Linked DNA regions of Stegostoma tigrinum. The protein of the gene in region 3 purifies or fractionates together with the protein of the main gene of each other region. This does not show direct contact. Links are inferred from orthologs where the notes say so. Each region holds a gene or a part of one and is shown on either strand. Other genes may lie near its edges.

Evidence for each region.
Region 1: the proteins of zinc finger protein 644-like (region 3) and adnpb purify together in Homo sapiens (affinity purification with mass spectrometry; 3 studies listed by BioGRID and IntAct, with this or other methods). This does not show direct contact. The link is inferred for Stegostoma tigrinum from reciprocal best matches to the Homo sapiens genes ZNF644 and ADNP.
Region 2: the proteins of zinc finger protein 644-like (region 3) and ehmt2 purify together in Homo sapiens (affinity purification with mass spectrometry; 3 studies listed by BioGRID and IntAct, with this or other methods). This does not show direct contact. The link is inferred for Stegostoma tigrinum from reciprocal best matches to the Homo sapiens genes ZNF644 and EHMT2.

Annotation. Positions count from the first base shown.
Region 1 is NC_081372.1:40,818,538-40,825,978, reverse strand, and holds the start of adnpb (activity-dependent neuroprotector homeobox b), read left to right. Parts: upstream 1-4,431; 5' UTR 4,432-4,943; intron 4,944-7,441.
Region 2 is NC_081387.1:20,687,676-20,694,897, reverse strand, and holds the start of ehmt2 (histone-lysine N-methyltransferase EHMT2), read left to right. Parts: upstream 1-4,212; 5' UTR 4,213-4,242; coding exon 4,243-4,269; intron 4,270-6,918; coding exon 6,919-7,003; intron 7,004-7,222. UniProt on the Homo sapiens protein: Histone methyltransferase that specifically mono- and dimethylates 'Lys-9' of histone H3 (H3K9me1 and H3K9me2, respectively) in euchromatin.
Region 3 is NC_081361.1:87,622,591-87,629,592, forward strand, and holds the start of zinc finger protein 644-like, read left to right. Parts: upstream 1-3,994; 5' UTR 3,995-4,306; coding exon 4,307-4,653; intron 4,654-4,702; exon of another isoform or gene 4,703-4,796; intron 4,797-4,845; exon of another isoform or gene 4,846-4,984; intron 4,985-7,002.

The DNA of each region.
Region 1 (7,441 bases), on a different chromosome or scaffold from region 3:
GGCTCAATAAAATCATTCAATAATACATTTATTTTAAATTTAATATTTGTAAATTTGTGACAGCACTGATGTAATACTATGCATTTGTGTTCATAGGAAATAATATTGTTGATCAATGCACTGCAAATGTGCACAACTGTTGCAACTATGTATAGCTATTTGAGTACCAGAATTCTTATTGGTCAATTATGCTAACACTTTTGCAACAAAGCAATATTAGGTGAACATTGGGACAAAGTCTGTATTTATAATGGATTTCATGTTATACATCTCTCAGCAGATAAGATGAGGTAGTTACTAACTGGGTGTGTGTATTTCCAGTCTATACTGGCCAAAATGTAACAATTATTTAGTCAAGAAATGTCAAAGTCAGTGATTTTGGGCTCACTGTGGTAGAATTCATTTTGAAAATATATAATTAAATGGCAATTAATGAATGTAGGAAAATTAATCTATATTCTGAGGTGAAACTTTGAAATGAATTATCGCCACTTTTAAAAGTGAATTCCAGAACTGACTTATTTAAGCTCTAGACCAGGATAATCTTACATTTCATAATGGTATATATCAAGAGAAGGTGATTAAATTTAAAACCAATTTTGGAGATTTAAATAACCTTTAGCTTTCTTTCTTAGATACAACTAAAGCTACTCTGCTGAATCAAAACAATGTGCTGTGTTCCTTGTTGCAATTTAAGTTCAACACATCATTGAAGAGAAATAAAGCTCTTCTCTAAAGCTGTGATTTTAGTCTCCATACTGAGTATTGGTCACTCTTCATTCAAAAATAAGGTTAAGGTATATTGAGCAATAGAGTCACACAACAGAGAAGCACACCCTTTGGTCTAACTCGTCCATGCTGACCAGGTTTACCAAAATTAAACTAGTCCCATTTTCCTGCATTTGGCCCATATCCCTCTAAACCAAACTAAGATGGGTAGAGTGCAAAAAGAAAGCCATGAATTTGGAATATGCAAATCCAAAAATATGTGTATATCTGATGTGTGCGTGTGAGGGGTTGGGGTGAAAACTGCAATATTTAACAAAACAATTTGATAAGGTGAGGAAATCTAAGGTGGAAACATTTACAGCTATATGTTGAACTTGTGAATAACCTGAAAACATTATGAAAATCCCTTTTAATAAATCTTTTGGAATAACTTCTAATCATTCATGCACAGGTATGTCCTCAGTACAAATAGTCAATCTATATTCAGATATTGGTTGAAGGACAAGCAATAAGTAGTTTCTTAACTTGGGATCAGTTCACATAATTAGTGCATCTCATCTGTGTTCTCTATAAAATATCGTAAGTTACATAAAAGTCATGACATGTTGACTAAAGTAATAACTTTAAGGTACAGTGTTAGTAAATTAATGGGTATCCATTAACTAACTGCTTTTGGGCTTTACATTTGAAACTTGGATATCCTTCTAATTTTCAAAATGACCTGTTACTGCTAATTACTGGTGTACACATTCAGTCAGTAACGAGCTCAGTGTCTCCCAGAACCAATTTAGACAAAGCATATTTTCAGCCACAGTTACAGAACACAACTTTCACTTCAACCTTTAAAAGTTCACTATCTGTTTAATTTCAGATAAAACACTGAATGCACTTTTTCTGAATTTAAATTTAAAAACTCATGCAGCTTTATTATTGTTGGATGTGCTGAACTTTCCGTGTAAGATTAGCGTGATACTTTTGTAGGAATGCAATGAGGTACAAGGTGATGCCTCGCTTTTATTATACATCCTATAATAATGAAAATAGTTGGAATGGTTATAGCACAAGAAAAGGCCATTCAGCCTGTCATGTCTGTGTCAGCTTTGGTAAGAATCAGAATCACACAGATTGGAAACAGACCCTCCGATCCAACTAGTCCACAGTGATGTTCCCAAACAAAACCAGACATGCCTGCTTGTGCTTGGCCCACATCCCTCCAAACTTTTCTTTTCATGGACTTATCTGAATGTCTTTTAAACGTGTAGCTGTACCTGCATCCGCCACTTTCTCTGGCAGTTCGTTCTATACACTAGCCACTCTCTTTTTAAAGAAAAAATTTAGAAGTTGCTCTGTGTCCTTTTTAAATAAGCCTCTAAATTTGAACACCCCCCCCCCCCCCCGCCCCACCCCATGAGGGAAAAGACCCTTGTCATTCACCTCATCTATGCCCCTCATGATTTTATAAACCTCAAAGGAGGTCACCGGTCTAACTCTACATCCCAGTGAAAGATATTCCAGCCTTTCCAGTCAATTTTTACAACTCAAACATTTCATCCCACCTGGTAACATCCTGGTAAATCTTTTCTGCACCCTCTCTAGTTAATAATATCCTTCCTTTTAACAGGACAAGCAGAACTGCACACTAGTCTAGAAGACGCCTCACCAATGTCCTATACAACATCAACATGACGTCCCAACTCCTATGAGTGGAAGTCTGAGCAATGAAGGCAAGCGTGCTAAACGCCTTCTTAACCACCCTGTCTACCTGTGATGCAAATTTCAAAGAATTATGTTACTGAAGCCCGAGGTGTCTCTGGTCCACAACACGACTGAGGTCCCTACTATTAATTGTACAAGACCTGTCCCTTATGTATTATCAAAGTGCAATATCTCACATTTATCCAAATTAAACTCCATCTGCTATTCCTCAGCCCATTGACCCAATTTGATCAAGATTTCTTTGTAATCTTAGATAACCTTCTTCACTGTCCAGTATTCCACTAATTTTGGTGTCACCTGCAAACTCACAAACTATGCCTTCTATATTCTCACCCAAATCATTTTTATATAAGTGACAAACCAAAATGGACCCAGTACTGATCCTTTGGAACACTGCTGTTCACAGGCCTCCAGTCCAAACAACTCTCTGCCGCTGCCGCCTCCTCCACCACCCCCAACCCTACCATCTCCACCCTGACACAACCTCCACGTACCCCGCTTCACCGCCCCCAACACACACACACACACACACCCCCACCCAACCACCTCCACCCTCCTATCCCATACCCCCACCTCATACCCCTCCCCACTCCCCCACCTCCACCCCCCCACCATCTCCCCACACCTCCCCCCTCACACCTTCCCCTAACACTCCCCAGACCTCCCACTCCCCACATCCCCCCCCCACCACCAGCTGCAAACATCCCCCCAAACCCCCCTCACCCACACCACCTCCCCCCACCGTTGGAAAGCTCATCTTGAATCCCACATAATCTAACTTATTTGACAAGGTTCTGCATGGTAGTCTAAGGCTATACTGAGGTTGAAGTAAACAACAGCTACCACTCTGCCCTCGTCAACCTTTTTGATTATTTCATTAAAATGTCAGTCAAATCTGCAACACAACATTTTTTTTAGGTTTGCCAGTTACCAACTGTTTGCATTTTAAATAAAAAAAATTTCCTCATGACACTGTTGGATCTTTTGCCAATCACCATAAATTTGATTACCTTTGGTTCATGACCTCTCTAGCAATGGAAAGCTTCTCTTTATTAAACTGTCTAGACTCCTGATTTTAACTTTGAAATACAAAGATTCAAAGAGATAGATCAGTTACCATAGCTGTTTCATGGAAACCTATGTTAAAAAATATGGTACACTTGTATGCCAACTTGAGACACTGACATTTACTAGCCAATCTATAATTCAAATAACATACATAATAACAAATTGCATGATCTCTAAACATTAACAATAGCCTGCAGTAGTGACAATCTCAAATTTCAAAACCAAATCTACTAAAGTGTTGGGCTGTCATGATAGCAGTTCTTTAAATCTCCCTATCTCATTGTGAAGATATTTGTGACTCTTTACACACCTGGGCGAGAGCCTTTCTCAAATATGACATCATGTGTGTAAAAGTAAGTAGATTCTGAGGTCTGAACATGGGCATATTTTCATCCCCTATGTCCATTGCAACTTTCTGGTGTGACAAAATGGAGGACATCCCACCAAGATCTCAGAAAGTAGTGCTGGAGCAGGCCTGAGGCGTAGTAATAACCCAAATGCTGAATGAAGTTGTACTCACATATGTGTGCTGAGGTCTGCGAGAGCACGGCGAGCAGATGGAGGCGCCAGATGCCCTAGTTCGCACCTGCGCACTACTGCCGCCTGGCCAGTAGAGAAAGGGCGGGTGAGGAATAGCGCCCCTAGCGGTGGCTCGAGGGAGCCTCGTTTTCACACGCCCTGCTCCAATTCTCGCGAGGCTACAGCAAAAGGGGACTTGTGCAACATGAACTATCCTTATTATTCCAGCCATCTGACCCCCTTTCACCACTCTTGGCAGAAGTGGGACAAATAGCAGGGGGGCCATGAGCCTGAAGTTTGCGTGAATTGCCCTCAAAGTAATGCTCAACTCTGCTCTCTATTGGACAATAGTCCCTATGCAAATAAAGCGTATACGTCACTTCCGTTCTTTCTCGGACGCCATTTTGGCCAGGGAAGGCTCAGTGAATTATTGTCCGAAAGCAATTGAATCTCTTTACCCCTGTTTTTCCTGTCGTCCCTTCGGGGTTTGCGCCTCGAAAAGTTTTCGATCAGAAAAAAAGTTCGTTTAGTCGGTCGAAGTTTATTTTCGTTTTATTCCCGAAGCGGTTTTGTTCGGTGGCCTTCAGTTGTCTTTTTTTCCCCTCTCCTCCTCTTTTCCCCCTCCCTCCCCTCCTCCTATCCTCTCCCCTCCCCTCTCTCTGTATAAAGAGCTCCCTCTTTCAGTCAGCGCTGGAAGCACCGCCGCGGCCGCTGCTCGCTCGCTCGGGGTTTGATGTGAGGAGATTGAAGCGGCGGCAGCAGCAGGAGGAGGAGGCCCCTTTGTTTGCGGCTCGCCTGCCCGCTCCCTCCCTCGCGCTCTTCTCTCTCTGCTGCCGGTTCGGCCGACCGACCGACCGGCTCGCGCTTAATTGATTAAACCAAAATAAGAAAAACAAAAGGAAAAGAAAAAGGTGAGAGCGTTTCGATTTTTTTTTGTCAAAGTCTGTAACCGAGCTCTTCTGTACATCAGCATTTTTTGGATTATGCTTTTTGTATTTTGCCAGAAAAAGAGGGGAAACCCCCCTGCAGCAAATGTGTGTTACATGCGAGTATTCTCCTTTTATCTTTGTCCATGTATCAAGTGCTGATTGCTAGAGATGCATAGGTACAGAGGTCTATCTGCAACGATTGCTTTATCCTATTTGTTGCCTATTTGCATGATTTAAAAATACACCAAAGACAGGATTTTCTTTGCTGAATTTGACAAATCCGCAATTCAAGCGATACTGGTTACACTATCCCATCGCTTATAATTGTTGTCGATCATTTGTGTCCATTGTTCTTCAAAACTAGGTGCGGGTTCGGATATTAGTATAATTTACTATGTATCGATTTGATGCATATGTGATGGGTCAAGTCACCCAATCGATAGGAGTGTTACCTTTCCCAATCGCGAAATACAGTATTTACCTGTGTCTGGAGCTGAATGGATCGAGGCATTTTGTTTTTTTTGTTTGCAGAACGTTTTTTTATGTTTAGCGGATTGTTTGATCCGCTGGTAAATTAGTTCAAATAATTTCAAGCCCCTTCGAAATCGTCGCGGTTTCGGATGCATAAAATATAAAATAGCAATTGTCGCCGGCTATCCTGTGTGCCATCGGTCGTGAATCTGATCGAACATTTGTTTACACATTTGCTCAATACCTTTTCTAGTGCTCTATGGTCTTTAGACAGCATGCTCAACCAATCCAGACAGCAAGAAACGCCCTAGACAGAAGACGGGGTGGATGGAAACTGAGATTTAATTTATTTGTTAATTCACATAGTGATTCCATTCGATGATGCTTCCGGATATTTTATGATGCAAATAATATTGGGGATGGGATAAGTTAAAATGATATTTTTAAAATGTGCACCTCTGGACCGGTTGCCGGCTGTGACGTTGCTGTAAAATGGCGCGAGTACTGCTCTACTGCAGACATGAATAGATTTAGGGATTCCCAGTTTTGTAATTGCTTAAGTAGAAATGTTTGGCACGTGCTCTTTGGAGAAATTTTGACCGGTCCCGCTGTTATCAGGGCTTGTGTTGCAAATTACGACCCCGAAATGCAAGAAAATGCATTTTGAACTGTTTTGCATCAAATAAAATTGTTTAATAATCTTTCTACTTATTGTGTCTAAAAACGTGTTTTTTAGAATAAAACTAAGTTAATGATTCTTGATTTCTCACCCTTCAGCTAATGGCAAATCATTTTCCACTTCTTCCGTGCACAGCCGCCCCCACCCATGTTGTAGTGCAGCCATGCAGAGAATGAAAATCAATACTCGGTGCAGCAGGAGGCGCTCTTCAGAGGCTAGTTTTGAGGCTTCAGTTGCAGGATGAGGAGTTGTTAGTGTAAAGAAATGCTCAATCAGAAAAATGCTAACGCTCCCAGTACAGCGCCACCTGTAGCTTAGACTCCGAATGTGGTGCTTGAAGACTTTTGGGTCACATGCAAAACAGTAGCTGGCATAATAACCATGCAATGTAGTTGAATTATTTCACCAAATGCATGTCTCATTGGTATACCCCATACTACTGAAACCCAGCTTCTTCGTAACTAAATGCATTTAGTGACAACTGGTGGAAAGAAAGAATGTGAAAAATGGTGGTAAGTACAACGTTGGTTAGTGTTTGGAAGTTGACTGCACTTGGAGTGCGCTGTCTTTTTAGCTAAAGGAATTGGTCCTGTTGCTTCATCCTATCATCCAAGTAAAGCATCTATGACTTGTTAGATGGTTTTGGTTGGATATTTCAGAAGATGATTGAGCATAATTGGCTTAGTTGGGTATGGCGATTACTGTTTAGCAATAAATGGCTATATAGTGATCACCCATTTTTGTCCATCATGTGCCTTTTCAGAAGGTTATCTTTCCAATGGTGCAAGTTGCTATTCAGATTAAACAGACTCTGAAGTTTTTTTTTGGCTGGCATCCTGTATCATTCCCAATCAGCATGAAATACTTTACTTGAATTTTCTTTAAAATGGGACCTGGTACCTTAATAGCTGTTTTGCTTAGGCAAATCTAAACTGTGTAATCTTCTGGTTTATTTTCCTCTAGTTATAAACACTGTTTGAGTCACACCGCAAGATTTGATGGCCAAGGAAGGTGTGCTCACAGAGTAGCCAGAGGTTGGTTTAATTGTGGAGCCAGAAGTCTCTTCAACATATCTCAACAGTGGGCAGTGAGAAAAACAAAGATTTCTAGTCAGCCATGTGAGAAAAGTAAGTGGGATCTCTATCACTATGTGAAGACCCATATTACTTCATGGTTGTAAAAGTGCATGTTGCACAGAAATTCACCTCCTAAGTGACCTGAATATAATAGATCCTTAAGCATAACAAAACTCCAATGTCTTTAATTTATTGTTTATACTATTTTAGTTTTGTCCTGCCATGGATGTAAATTTCAGTGACATAAAATTATA
Region 2 (7,222 bases), on a different chromosome or scaffold from region 3:
AGCAGCATCTTACGAGCAACTCTAAGGAACAGAAAAGGTGCAATTCCACTGCTCAGTGTAGCCCATCGGCAACTAGCCAGTGGGAAGACTGCAGGAGGAATGGGAATTTGCAAGGAATTTACAAAGCTAAGCAAGAATCATAGAGTTGTCACAATGTGGGGATTTCAGATCTATAGAATATGGCTGTGTAAAGGGCAGAACAGGGCAAATGTTAAAGGTATAAAGGACTTCACCTCAAGGTGGTGCCAGAGGACCGCAGCACTGCAAATGTTAGATTCTTGTTCAAAACAAGAGTGTGAAGATTACACCAGCCAGTTTAACTTTGGCGCTGACGAAGCTTCTGGGGAAAAAAGAATTCAGGACAACATTAATAGCCACTTGGGCAAATGCAAATATAATTAAGGAATGCCAGCACAGATTGGAAGTACATGGAATAGTGTAGGTTAGATGAGCTTCAGATCGGTATGACAGGTCGGCACAACATCGAGGGCCAAAGGGCCTGAACTGTGCTGTAATGTTCTATGTTCTATTTGTTAAGGGAATATGCTGTTTTACTAACTTCCTGGAGTTGTTTGATGAGGTAGCAGCAAGGATTGATGAAGGTAATGCTATATGTATGGTGTACATGGACATACAATAGTTTGGCATAGTGCCACACAACAGGCTTGTGAACAAAGTCATGGTTGATGGAATAAATAAAGATGCTGTTATCATGGATTTCAAATTGTCTGAGTGACAAGTTACAAAAAGTACTGGTTAATGAATGCTTTTGGGTTGGAAGAAGTGGAGCTGCCCGGGTTCAGTGCTGGTAGCCTTGCTCTTGAAGATATATATTAGCTACCTAGCCTTTGATGCACAGGGTACAAGAACAAAATTTGCATGTCACACAAAACTTGGAAGCATTTTGAACTGTGAGGAGGATACTGTAGAAATTTAAAAGAATGCAAACAAATTGGTGGTATGGACAGACAAGTGGCAGATTAATTTCAGTGCGGACATCCCTGAGGTAATTGAGTTTGGTAGGAAGCACACAGATAGACAGTATAAAGTAAAGAGCATTTGGGAGCAGAGAAAATTTGATGTATATGCGAATAAGACATTGGAACTGGCAAGAGCGCAGTTGAGAAAGCATACAGTATCCTAGGCCTTATTAATTGGAACATGGACTTAAGATTAGGTTGTGTTAGACTTGAAAAAGATAGTGTTTCAGCTGCCACTAGAGTACTGAGTCTAGCTCTTGGAAATACAAGAAGACATTGAAGTGCAGAAAAGATTCAAGAGAATGGGTCCAAGTATGAGGAACCTCAGTTACGTAGATCGACTGGAGAAGGTGCAACTGCTTTTCTTGCAGAAGAGAGAGGAGATTTGATGGCAGTATTCAAATCTTGAGAAATTTGGGCAACATAGAAAAAAGATTATTCCCATTGCTGATTGAGAGCATGAAGGTCCAGAATGAAAGAAATTGAAAAAATAAACAACAGAGATACATATTTTCATTCAGAAGTGGTGTAGGTCACATGAATGTGCTGCCTGAGAATGCATGGGGGCACTTTCAATCAAGGCATTCAACAGAGAGTTGGGTTGAAAAAGGAAGTGAGTGCAGGGGTATGACAAGTGGCTCTAAATGCATGTGTTAAGACTATAGAAATAGGAACAGGAATAGGCATTTGGTCCAACGAGCCTGCTCCAATATTCAATAGGATCATGGCTGATCTGACATTCCTCATGTCAGCTTTTCTGTGTTTTTCCTGTAACCATTGATTACCCGTACTGATCAAGAATCTATCTAAGCCATAAATACATATAAAGACTCTACTCCGTAGCTGTCTGTAGCAAGGAGTTATAAAGACAATTCTTCATAGTTTTAAACTGATGCTGTTTTGTTCTGAGACTATGTCTGCTATGCTAGGCTCTCCCGTGATGGGAAACATCCTCTGAGCATTTATCCTGTCAGTGTCCCTTCATCATCTTATATGTTCCAATGAGATCCCCTCTCATTTTAAACTCCTGTGAGTAGGGTCTCAACCTGTTAAGCCTGTGCTCGGACGACAATGCCTCCATATCAGAGATCATCTTTCTAAACTGTCTCTGTGTCCTCTCTGCCTAAACTGAAATAATACCTATGCTTAAATAAGGGAACAAAATATTCTCAGTATATTAGATGCGTTCTCACCAGTACCTTGTTACAGTTATAATAAGATGTCTCTACTCTTATACTCCAAAACCCATGAAATAAATCCCATCCCTGCTTCCACAACACACAAAAACTGAATAAAAACCAGAAGAACTGCAGATACATCAGGAACAAAAACAAAAGTTGCTGGAAGCTCAGCAGGTCTGGCAGCATCTGTGAAGAAAAAAATCAGAGTTATTGTTTTGGGTCCAGTGACCCTTCCTCAGATGTGTCTTCTGTTTTTGTTGCTGACACAAAAATCTGAAATAGCTAGAAAAGCTCAGCAAGTCTGGCAGCTTCTGCTCTTGACAATTCTGAAGGGTCACTGAACCTGAAATGTTAACTCTGCTTCCTCTCCACAGATGCTATTAGCCCTGCTGAGCTTTTCCTATATTTCTTTTTTTTTCTGATTTCCAGCATCTGCAGTTTTCCAACATTCCATCAGCCTTCCTGATTACCTGCTGCACCGTGTGCCAGCTTTCTGTTTTTCATTTGGACGGTTGTTTTGTGCACGCACACAACAGGTCAAAATGGGCAACTTCTGTAGATGGTAACCATTCTGTGATATAACCAAGTCATGGACTGAGTACAACAAATGCTGGAGGTCTGTAAATGGCCTAGTCTGAAGATGAGATGTTGTTCCCCCTGGTTTGTGCTGTGATTCACTGGAGCACCGCAGCATGCCAAAGACAGACAACTGGGCATGCAAGCAGTCTGTTGTGTTAAAATGACTGGCCACGTACAGACTGGAGTCGATCTGCAAAGCTGTGACCCAGTTTATGTTTACATTGGAGAAACCAAACGCAGACTGAGTGACTGCTTTGCAGAACACCTCCAGTCTCATTATCAGACTAGCCTTATGGACTTAATATTAAGTTCAGCACCTTCAAATTGTGAACAAACTGCTACTCCTAACCTTTCCTTTAGCTTTACTTGTTACATTCTCTGTCACCATGTGCTGTCTCCTCTCTCACCACCTCAGAGGGACAGAGACAACAAGATGTAGAGTTGGATGAACACAGGCCAAGCAGCATCAGAGGAACAGGAAGTCTGACATTTACAGCCTAAACCCTTCTTCAGAAAAACCTTGCCTGCTCTTCTAAATCTGGCAGTTGGACACATCATCGTTCTACAGTTCTCGCATTCTGGTCTCTTAATCTGAACTATCAACGTCTTTTCTCTCTCACGACTCTGCACCTACCTTCGCAACAATAGCATAAATGCTGTCCCTTCCACACTTCACTAGATCTGATGAAGAGCTATCTCGACTTGAAACATTAGTTTGCTCTCTCTCTCTCTCCATGGATGCTGCTTGACCCGCTGCGATCTCCAACATTTGTTGTTGTTGTCAGTACAGATTCCAGCATCAAGAGCAACTCACTCCTACGGGAACTGCAGATGCTGGAGAATCCAAGATAACAAAGTGTGAAGCTGGATGAACACGGCAGGCCAAGCAGCATCTAGGAGCACAAAAGCGGACGTTTCGAGCCTAGACCCTTCACCACAGAAGGCGAGCCCGAAACGTCCGCTTTTGTGCTCCTAGATGCTGCTTCGCCTGCCGTGTTCATCCAGCTTCACACTTTATTACCGACGTGGACTGAGCTCTTTCCACTCCCTCTTGAAAGCAGCACTGGCCCTTTAAATGATGGCAACGCCCCTTCATCCGGCTAGGCCACGCCCCGCGCAGGTTAGGTCCCGCCCCCCTCCACTGCGCAATGACGTCACGGGCCGGGAGCCATGGCTTCCCTGGATGCTGAGGTGAGACAGCCGCTGAGGGAAGGGAATTCCTCTTTCCGATTAAAAAATTGTTATGACTCTTCACTTACATCGGGGGCGCTTAGACTTCTCTTCACCCACCCCGCTCAAATCCCATCCTGGCTTACATCTAAAACCGAGGCTTTTTCGTTTTCCCCTCCCTCGCTCATTGCTGCTCCGTCGGCTCCGAGTCCACGGCGGCCATGGGTCTCGGGCGCTTTGTGAGGCGGAGAGGGGGAAGGAACCAAGTGATTGACAGCCGGGCCCAGGGAACCTGAACAACGCATCGACTCCCCTTGCGTTGGACTGATTGGATGCGTTATGCGCGATTCCGGGCGGAGGTTAGCGGGCGACTGTTCTCTTCACCCTGTATCCTGTGTAGCGCATTGGCTCCCTATTGTTGGCTCGTGGCGGAACGTATTACACAGGGTTAGGGTTGGGCTACGATGATTGACTGTAGAACCCTTTATCCTGTGTGATGTATCCATTCCATTCTCTTGGAGTGTTTGGACATGCGCTATACGAGGTTTGGGGTGGAGAAATATTTGGAACCCTGTAATCTGTGTGATGTAGTGACCTCCCTTTGTTGGTGGCGTAGGAGATATGCGTTATGCAGGCTTCGGCTTGGCCTCGATGTACTGTGTAATTGACTGCCGATCCCCATATCTTGCAGAGTGTATAAACTGCCTCTGATAACGTTGCGGGTTGTCCGTTATCCTAGGTCTGGGGTACGAATCTGGCCGACTGTACAGTTAAGGCATGCTGCCTTGTTGCTGTGCAATTTTTTTTTCTCGGCAGTGTATTTTGATTAACTTGCAAGCCTGCGATTCTGTCCAGTTATTTTCTCTTTAGCTCAATAAAACTCTCTCTTTTATGTCGTTAACAGCACATTCTCGTTTTTTGTTAGCGATTTTAAAATGCTTGAAAACTTACCACATTGACTCGTTCGACTGTACTGCGCACCTCCTTCTGATTCTCTTTACCAATCTTGATGATCGTTTAGGTGAAATGCTGCAATATAAACCGCCTGTCAAAGACATATTAGGTTAAATGCAAGACTGTCCGAGGTAGTTAGCTTGTTAAGTGGACACATGGCCTATTTCTGAGTGGCGGGAGGGAAGTCGGTCAGATTTACCGCTGTTGAGCAGCGAAGGTGTAAGATTTGGTGTCAGAGGAGGACTGAACAGAAGGGTATCTCGGCTATAATGCATTCCCATGTCAAACAGACTGCTTTTATTACTCAAGGCATCGAATACAAGAGCGAAGAGGGTATGATGGAACTATTTATAATGTTAGTTAGACTACAGCTTTTTTCAGTTCTGTTTTGCCACGCCAAAGGAAGTATGTTACTGCATCTAGAGAGGGTGCAGAATGTTGTTTGGGCTGATGTGATTCCACTATGAAGAGATAAGCTGATGTTTTCTTAAAGCAGAGAAAGCTGAAATTGAATTTGATTTGATTTACACAAAGTTGCAGGAGGCAAGATAGATAGGGAGAAAATGCTTCCCCTCTGAAGGATCAAAAGCCAAGGGGCAAAGTTTTAAAGTAGAAGCAGAACGTTTAAACGTCATTTAAGGAAAGCCTTCTTTACTCACAGGATTGTGGATGTCTGGAACACACTGCTTAAAACAATGCTAGAAGCGAGATGTGTTAAGACTTTTGAGAAGTACTTAGATGAAGATAAATATTTTAACACACCATAATGTACAAGGCTGCAGGCAAGATGCTTGAAAATGGGATTAGAGTAGATGGATGTTTGACTGGCACCATAGGCTGAAGACCTTTTTCCCATGCTGTAAAACTTTACAATTCTATATCCAGCCAGACGTTGTTGGTTAAGCGAAGCCAAATCTCCCAGTAGCCCTACAATGTTGACTGAATCAAAACTGCTCATCATTTCAAAGACTTCTGTTAGGTCATCCTACAGCATTTCCTTTCCTGATATGTATACCCACACATTTCTGTTTCTATCTTTAGTAATCTTCTCTGTCACTTCTCCAGTGCCTGATATATTTTTTTCATTATATGGTACCAGAACTCCATACAATACTCTTAAATGTGGTGTAATCAGGTTCAATACTTGTTTAGCATAACTTATCTTTTTAGTTCAAAACTAGGGTCCACACATATAAGACAGTTAGTAATACATCCAGGAGTCACGCGACACCAGGTTGTGGTCCAACAGGTTTATTTAAAATCCCAAGCTTTCAGAGTACAGCTCCTTCATCAAGAAACTGTTGGACTGTAACCTGAAGTTGTGTGACTTCTAATTTTGTCCACCCCAGCCTAATGACTAATAAATTCAGTCGTGAATTCAGGAAGAACTTTTTTTGCCCAGAATGTGGAACTTTGTACCCAGACAGCAATTGACACAATTGACATAGTTTTTTCTTAAAAGGGAACTGGATGACCATAAGAAGAAGAAAGAAAAAGAAGGGTGCAGTGATAAGGTGGGATGAAGAGGGTTGTGTGGAGCTTTAGCTAGATGGACTGATCTGCCCGTTTCTTTACAATCCCAGAATTGAGTAATCAATTGAAGGCAACACTTTTTATTTGTCAGAGAAAAGAGTGGTCCAGCAGCTGCTGTTCCTTGGCTTGTGTTGTAAACTTTTCAGTGTCTAGTGGTGTAGGATAGGTTTTTTTGCTCAAAACAGAGAAGACACTGTTTCTCTTTGGTGTGTTGGGTCACTTCCCTATCTGTACTGTTCCCCTCCTTGTGCCTCCAGCTCAGCCCCCTGTGACACTATTCCAACAGAAAGCAGGGATATATGGAATGCAAAAGGAGGGAGTGATTTTGAAATAAAAAGCAGAGCCTGAGAGAAAGAGGTTTAGCATTCTTCTGGAGTGCAATCTCCTCAACCTCATGAGACCCTTCCTGTCTTGCTGTGAGGAGTTGGGGTGGGTGGATTTGTTGGAGATGTTGAGGTAGGATCATCAAATTGATACATTTCCCCTGGAACATTGTGAGTTATTTTGCTTTCCTTTCACAGGTGGTGGCTAACAGCCCAGTTGAAGCTACAGCAGAACCAGAACTCCTGGTGCTTGACACGAGCCCTAGCTGTGAACTAGTCCAAGGTAAGATTACAGATTCAAGACAGCAGTTGTTCTGTCAGCAAAGGACACAGCAACACAGAGTAGAGTGTAGAGAGAGAGAAGACATGGCGATCTGGTTCTGGAAGTCTCCATGGGGCTAGGGTCGCTGACCATTACAGTGGTAGGGAGAGACTCCATCCTGTGTGGTGTCTTGGGATCTTTTGTCACTTTCCTAGTTGGGTCAAAAGACAGAGTTGTAGC
Region 3 (7,002 bases):
GGAAACCAGAGTACCTGGGCGAAACCCACACAGACATGGAGAGAACATGCAAACTCCACGCAGACTGTCACCTGAGGGTGGAATTGAACCCAAGTCCCTGGCGCTGTGAGGCAGCAGTACTAACCACTGAGCCACCGTGCCACTCCTTAGTTCCTAGTCAATTTTAAGCCCCAGATGCTGAAATTCAGGAATTGTACGATTGAGAAATCATTGTATGTCAAGGGCAATGATCAGATTCTCATATTGGAGATATTCATTGCTTGGCACTTACTTGTCACTTGTCAGGCCAAACCTGAATTTTGTCCTGAACTTGTTACATTTGGACACAGATTGCTTCAGTATCTGAAGATTTACAATTTATTTAGAACATTGTGCAATCATCAGTGAACATCCCTACTTCTGACCTTATGACAGGATATTACTGAAGCAGCTGAAGATGGTTAGACCTAGGACACTACCCTGAGGAATTCCTGTACAACCATCCTGGAGCTGAGGTGTCTGACCTCCACCAACCATAACCAGGTTTGTGTCAGGTGTAACCCCAACCAAAAGAGAGTTCTCCCTTAATTCCCATTGACTCCAAGCCTGCTAGCGTTCCTTAATGCCATATTCAGTCAAATACAATTTTGATGTCAAGCACAGTCATTTTCACGTCCCCTTGGGAGCTCAGCATTGAAGCAAAGATATAACATAGTGAGGAATTGAGATACCCTGGCAGAAACCAGGGTGAGCAGGTTATCGCTAAGCAAACATTGCTCAGTAGCACTGTTGATGACACTTGTCATAAATTCACTGATGATTGAGATTAAACTAATAGGGTCAGGTTGGAAGTTCTCACATTGTTGGATAGATGCTTGTGTTATAGCTGTACTAGAACAGCTTGAAGGGAGTGGCAAATCTGGAGTGTACTTCTTCAGTACTATTGTCGCTAGTGATCTTGGGAGGAGGCCAGACGGATCATCTACTTGGCACTCTTGGCTGAAGATTGTTGCAAATGCTTTCGTCCTTTTGCACTAATGTATTATCATTGTTGAGAATGGGGATATTTGTAGATCCTCATCCTGCCAATCACTTTTTAAATTGCACACTACCAGCCATGACCGGATGTGGCAGGTCTGAAGAGCTTTGTTTTTGGAATCACTTAGCTCTGTATATCACTTGCTGCTTACACTGTTTTATCTTGTAGTGGTATTGTTTCGTAGCTTCACCAGGTTAACACCTGATGTGCAAGTAGGCCTGGTTCTGCTCCAGCCTTCTTCATTGAACCAGACTTGATGATAGTGTTGCAGGGATTTGCCCAGGCCATGAGGTTGCCATTGGTGGGTGTACAATTCTGCCGCTGCTGTCAGTCCGCAGTGCATCATGCATGTCTAATCTTGATTTGGGAGATATGTTCAAAGTCTATTTCATTCAGCATGGCGTCAATGATCAATACGAAGGCAGGACTTTGTCTCCATAAGGATTGTGCTGTGGTCAGTCTTATTAATGTTGTCATGACAGATCGCATCTACCGCAGGAAGATCAATGGGAATGAGGTCAAGTACATTTTTCACTCTTGTCGGTTCCATCACTACTTGCCACAGATCTGGTATAGCAGCTATGTTCTTTAGGACTTGACCAACTCAGTCAGTAGTGATGCTTCCATTGGCAATGGACTCTGAAATTGCCTAATCAAAGGACATTCTGTGCCCTTGCCACCTTTAGTTTTTTTTCCAAGTGGTGTTCAGCATAGTACACTGAGTCATCGTCTGAGGTGGGGATCAGTTTGTAGTAATCAGCAGAAGCTTTCCTTGCCCATGTCTGACCTGACATATGAGATTCACAAGGTCTGCTTTCAATGTTGAAAACTCCTGCAGAAACTACCTCCTGACTGTATACCACTGTGTCTCAACATCTGCTGCATTTGTCCTGGTGATGGGACAGGGATAATGATGGTGTTGTCAAGAATGATACATGTAAGGTATGATTCTTTGAGTATGAGCATGTCAGGCTGATAGCTCTCCTAATCTTGGCACTAGCCCTTACATGTTGGTGAGAAGGACTTTGCAGGATCAACAGGCCATTATCATTTCTGGGTGTCTTGGTTGATGCCGGATGGTCTGTCTAGTTTTATTCTCTTTTTTTAAAGTTAGAGACAACAGAGTCCATTGCTAGTGGTACTTAAGAGGAAACCACATTTCTGTGGCTCTGTAGGCCAGATCACGTTTTCTCTTTCTGAATGATGTTTGTGAACTAGATAAGTTTTGATGACAATAGTTTTTTGGCCATCACTCAGATATTTATTGCATTCAAATTCCACCATTTGCCATGGTGGAATTTGAATCCAGGTCCTTAGTACAATACCTGGGTTTCTGGATTACCAATCTCAGTGACAATACCATCACCTCCTTTCTGACATTTTGAAAACTGAGGAAATGTTTACCTCATTCACTATTTTGATAAATGCTTCATAAAGTGAACTGAAATGTGGGACAGGACCCTTTTCTGGCCATGTTGGGTCTTCCTGATATATCCTACTTTAAGTAGCTAAATAGTACATATCTAATCATCCCTCTTTATTACTGACAACAAACTACTAGGCCTAAAGGTATCCTATTCTGTCTTATCTCCCTCATTAAAAAAGGAATATTAGTCTTCTTCCAGTCTATGGGGGAGGTGGGGGGGTGGTTGGTTTAGCTTGGGGAGGGTTGCAAGAAGGGTGTTAGGAGACCCTTATCCTGTTTCCTTGAGACCCACTGGATGGATATCCTTTCAATGATCTACTGTTTTATGTCAAGGTTCTTAATTCTAAAATAATATTGTTTTTAATATTAACAATGTTAATTAGTGACATTGTTGAATTCTACTGGTTAAGCATCATCCTCAAAAGTGAAAATTGATACAAGGTACTCATTTAATATTTTTGACATACCAAAATCCATCCATATTCTTTCCCTGTAGTTATTTCAATGATCTTCAAAAGTGAAAATTGACACAAGTTACTCATTTAATATTTTCGACATACCAAAATCCATCCGTATTCTTTCCCTGTAGTTATTTCAATGATTGAATATGGGTGATTGAAATCCTGATATAACACTTTTTTCCCATTACTATCACAATTGTTCAAAATCTTCTTTTCCATTAAACTTTTTAGCTGCTTTTGGAATTGGAAATTTGGAATTGTGTTTGTATTACTTTAATTTGTTTATGTGAATTTCCATTTAAAATGGTGGTGCTGTCTTACACAGCTGAAGCTTGGTCCATGCCTGTGGAGTTGCATTATTTTGCTTGCACTATGTTCTAAGTAGCTAAACATGGAAGCAATTTATCTCTTCGCTGAAAGAAAATTCATGTAAACAGTGGTATTGTTGAGTAGGACGTATACGATGTGAAGAAATGCAACCAAAACAATGGCTGAAAACAACCATTTTATTTGCAAAGGACTGTAACGATAAATGGCAAACAGATCAATAAAAATGATATGCTGGGAATCTACTGGTGAAAGATCGAGTGCTGGAGTTTAGCGAGGAATCATGCCTGAACTGTAGATAAGCAGTTAAAATCGTTTGTCAACAATTTCCGAGAACGTGTTGTCCAGCACTAGCAGCCAGAGAGCCAAGAGTCATGGAGTCAGCAGTATTCCGGTAAACATCTTCCGGAATATTAATTAAGACATTCTTTGCAACGGCCTCTTTGCAAAACATCCACGCAACTATTAAAATAACCGCACGTTTCAACGATCTTCCCATGTGTGGTGATGAAAGATTGATTTGTTTTAAAAAGGCTCGACAGATGTTTACTTTATTCACTCCCCAAAAGACAAACTGTTATTTGGTCCCTTTCTCCTGAAGGCCTGGTTTCCCAGTGTCCCATGGGGCGCTGGCCCAATTGGCCATTGATTATTACTTTTCTTGCAGCGTCGAGTTTCCTTCGAGTTGACACCTGCCTTGTTGATCTGATGGGAGTTCATTCCCATTTTGTTTTTCTTCAGACAGGAAACCGGGTGCTGCGAGAAAAACGAGCAGTGGTTTTTGTTTTGACCTCTTTCCACTCCCTGACCCCCCCCCCAACACACAAACCATCCAAAATATTTCTTTTCCAGTGAGTGAATAGTCAGAATCCTGCTCTCTCTCACCTGGTCAGGAAGCCGACACCATTTCCACGCTTTCCTGAAGCCCCAGCTGCCACTTATGTATGTTTAAAAAGAAACAGCGACAACAGAGAGAGGCGGCTGTGAGAGGAAGGCGCCTCCACTGGCGGAGGGAAAGGAGGAAGGCGGTTGTCGTTGGGGGGGTGGGGGGAGAAAAACAGGAGACGGTTGGTGATGGTGGTGGAAGAACAAACACGCACTTGGCGGGGACAAAGGACTGCGCCCGCTCGCGTTTCTGACAGGAAGCCGACCATCGGGCTGTACCCAGCCGATACCAGCAAAACCCCCACTTTCCCCCCGTCACACACCAACCCGGTTGCCGCGGGCAGGGCTCAGCAACGGCCGGCGTCCCACCGCCCCCTTTCTTTTAACCTCCCCTCCCCCCAACCTCCCGCCTTCACCATCTCCGGGCACAATAGCGAGCAAAATGGCGGCCGTGCCTGGATGGATGGAGGACGAGCGCTGACAATAAAAACCCGGCCCGCCGCTCCTCCGCGCACTCCCTTGTGCCAAAATAAAAGGTACGTGCGTGTGTGTTTTTTTTCCTCCTTCCCGTCGCAATAAGCTCACCGACAGTAGAGAGAGAGCGGTGGATGGGGGTGGGGGAGGACGACGATCGGTTGGGAGTTTTGCTTTTTTTTGCTTGCCATCCATTCCACCACCAATCCCCCCTCCCCCCTCCTTTCTCTCTCCCTCTCTCTCTTCCCCCCCACCTCCTTGGTTGTTGGGTTGTAGTTTGGACCCAGCGATTCGACAGCGTGACAGACAATTCAGGCGGGACGGGGCACACACTACTTGCATGTCTTCCTTTGCCACGCAACATGGCATCTCGGACCAATTCTTCCACCCCGTCCCCTCCCCCAATCTTGGGTTTTATCATGCTAGTTCCCACTACTCCAACAACAAAAGTTGGGTTACCCCTTTTTCAATGTCAATTTTTGAGCTTTGTGCAGTTCTTTAATTTGAATAGGTTCTGCTCTGCACTGCGACTCATCCACACGCATAAACTGAACACTGGCATTGATTGTGGGCAAAATGGGGGAAAGCATGTCAGGAGTGTGTTGTAGGAATTGAAAGGAACTGTGCTGTGCTTCAAAGTCTATGACTCCAAACTGGATTGTCTGCCTTTAAACTTGCTCTTATTTGTTTTGTATGGTGTTTGGTGGCGTTTGTTACCAAATCCAAGGTCAATGATGTACAATACCACTAATCTTTGGATTCTATGTAAGGCAACTGAAGTTTTTTTTTCCAAATGCCATCATAGAATAATGGCTGTACAATGGATCCCAAGTAACTTAAATCTAGAGGAACTTTAACATAGTGTCATGAATTTATGTTTTTGAATTCTTGCATAAAATTTCTAAATAGCTGTAAATTTTGAAATTTTGCCCCCTCCTTTTTGATATACTTTAATCAGTTGCAGTTTATGATAAGCCCTTCAAGGGACACTAAAATTTTTTCCAACTATTTCATAACTAATGGTTATGTGGAGTTGGGTGCAGGACAAGTGCATTAGATCCAGAAATACAAGAGTCTGATGCTGTCTAATCTTGGTTTTTGTTTTTTTTTGTGTACTGAGGCTGATTTTCCTGAATTTAACTTAATAGTGCAAGATTCTTGTAGGACCTTTAACTTGCTTTCTGTGGCATGTTGTCACAATAATATTCAGTGTGCTTTAAATATTTGTAAGCTATCTTTGGCCAAGGAGTCTACAAATACTCTTTTGAAAGCCTCCATAATAATTGGTTTCCAGTATGAGCATTTGGCCTGCATTCATTTTGCATGTAATTTTGTAGTTATTTTAATGTCTAGTTTAAAAGACGTATAATCTTGTCCATTAAACATTTCAAGCTGGATTATTTTCTCACACACTGTAACCCAGCTGGGTGTGAATAACACAGAATTGTCACCACCATTTAATTAAACTTAGCTGATTTGCTCTATAAATAGAGTAATAAAGTTTTTGTTTGTCCTTTTGAGTCATCTGAGGTGTTTAATAGGGTTCGGGCAGGTAACTACTGAGGTGATCTAGACCTGGAAAGTTCTGTTGCAAAAGGATACAGCAGATAATTGATGACGACAAAGTGTGGAGCTGGATGAACACAGCAGGCCAAGCAGCATCTTAGGAGCACAAAAGCTGACGTTTCGGGCCTAGACCCTTCATCAGAAGTTGTGCTCCTAAGATGCTGCTTGGCCTGCTGTGTTCATCCAGCTCTACACCCTGTTATCTCGGAGCTTTGGACAAGTTGGTTTTGGAATCCTGTCCAACATCTACCTGAAGCAGAGGGAAAATTCCTATTTTCAAAGGAAGCCACAATGTTTATTTTTGGTTTGTTGTTCCATGTACATGGATTCTGAATGAGTTTCTCCCAGGAGTCTTAAATTGTTGACATGAAAACTCTTAAGTGGAATTTTTAGATTAGCCAAATGAAGCACTACAAGGACAATGTGAAAGCACAGAGCTGGCTGAAGCTCTCCATAGAAGCTTTGCATTGGTAAGCAAACAAAGTTTTATAAAAGTAAGTATAAGTAAATGTGGTATAAGGACTTGGAAGTTGTACATATCCAAATTGTATTGGTTTATACCTGATGGAATGATCTGTAAACACTTTTAAAATTTGTCAAGCTTTGTGATGAACAACTGTTAATGTTCAGCATAGACCTATTCTATCTAGTTTTTTCTAATTAAAAGTTGGGAAGAATCTGAAGTTGGATCTATGATTACAACTTGGCTGATTTAATACAAAATATGTCATATTGCTTTGTATTGGATCTGCTTAAAAGTATTCATGATGGAAAAGTGCATGTCTGTGCCTCCTCAAATACTAAGTTCTTACTTTAATGCACATTGGCTTGATTTCACGTTATAA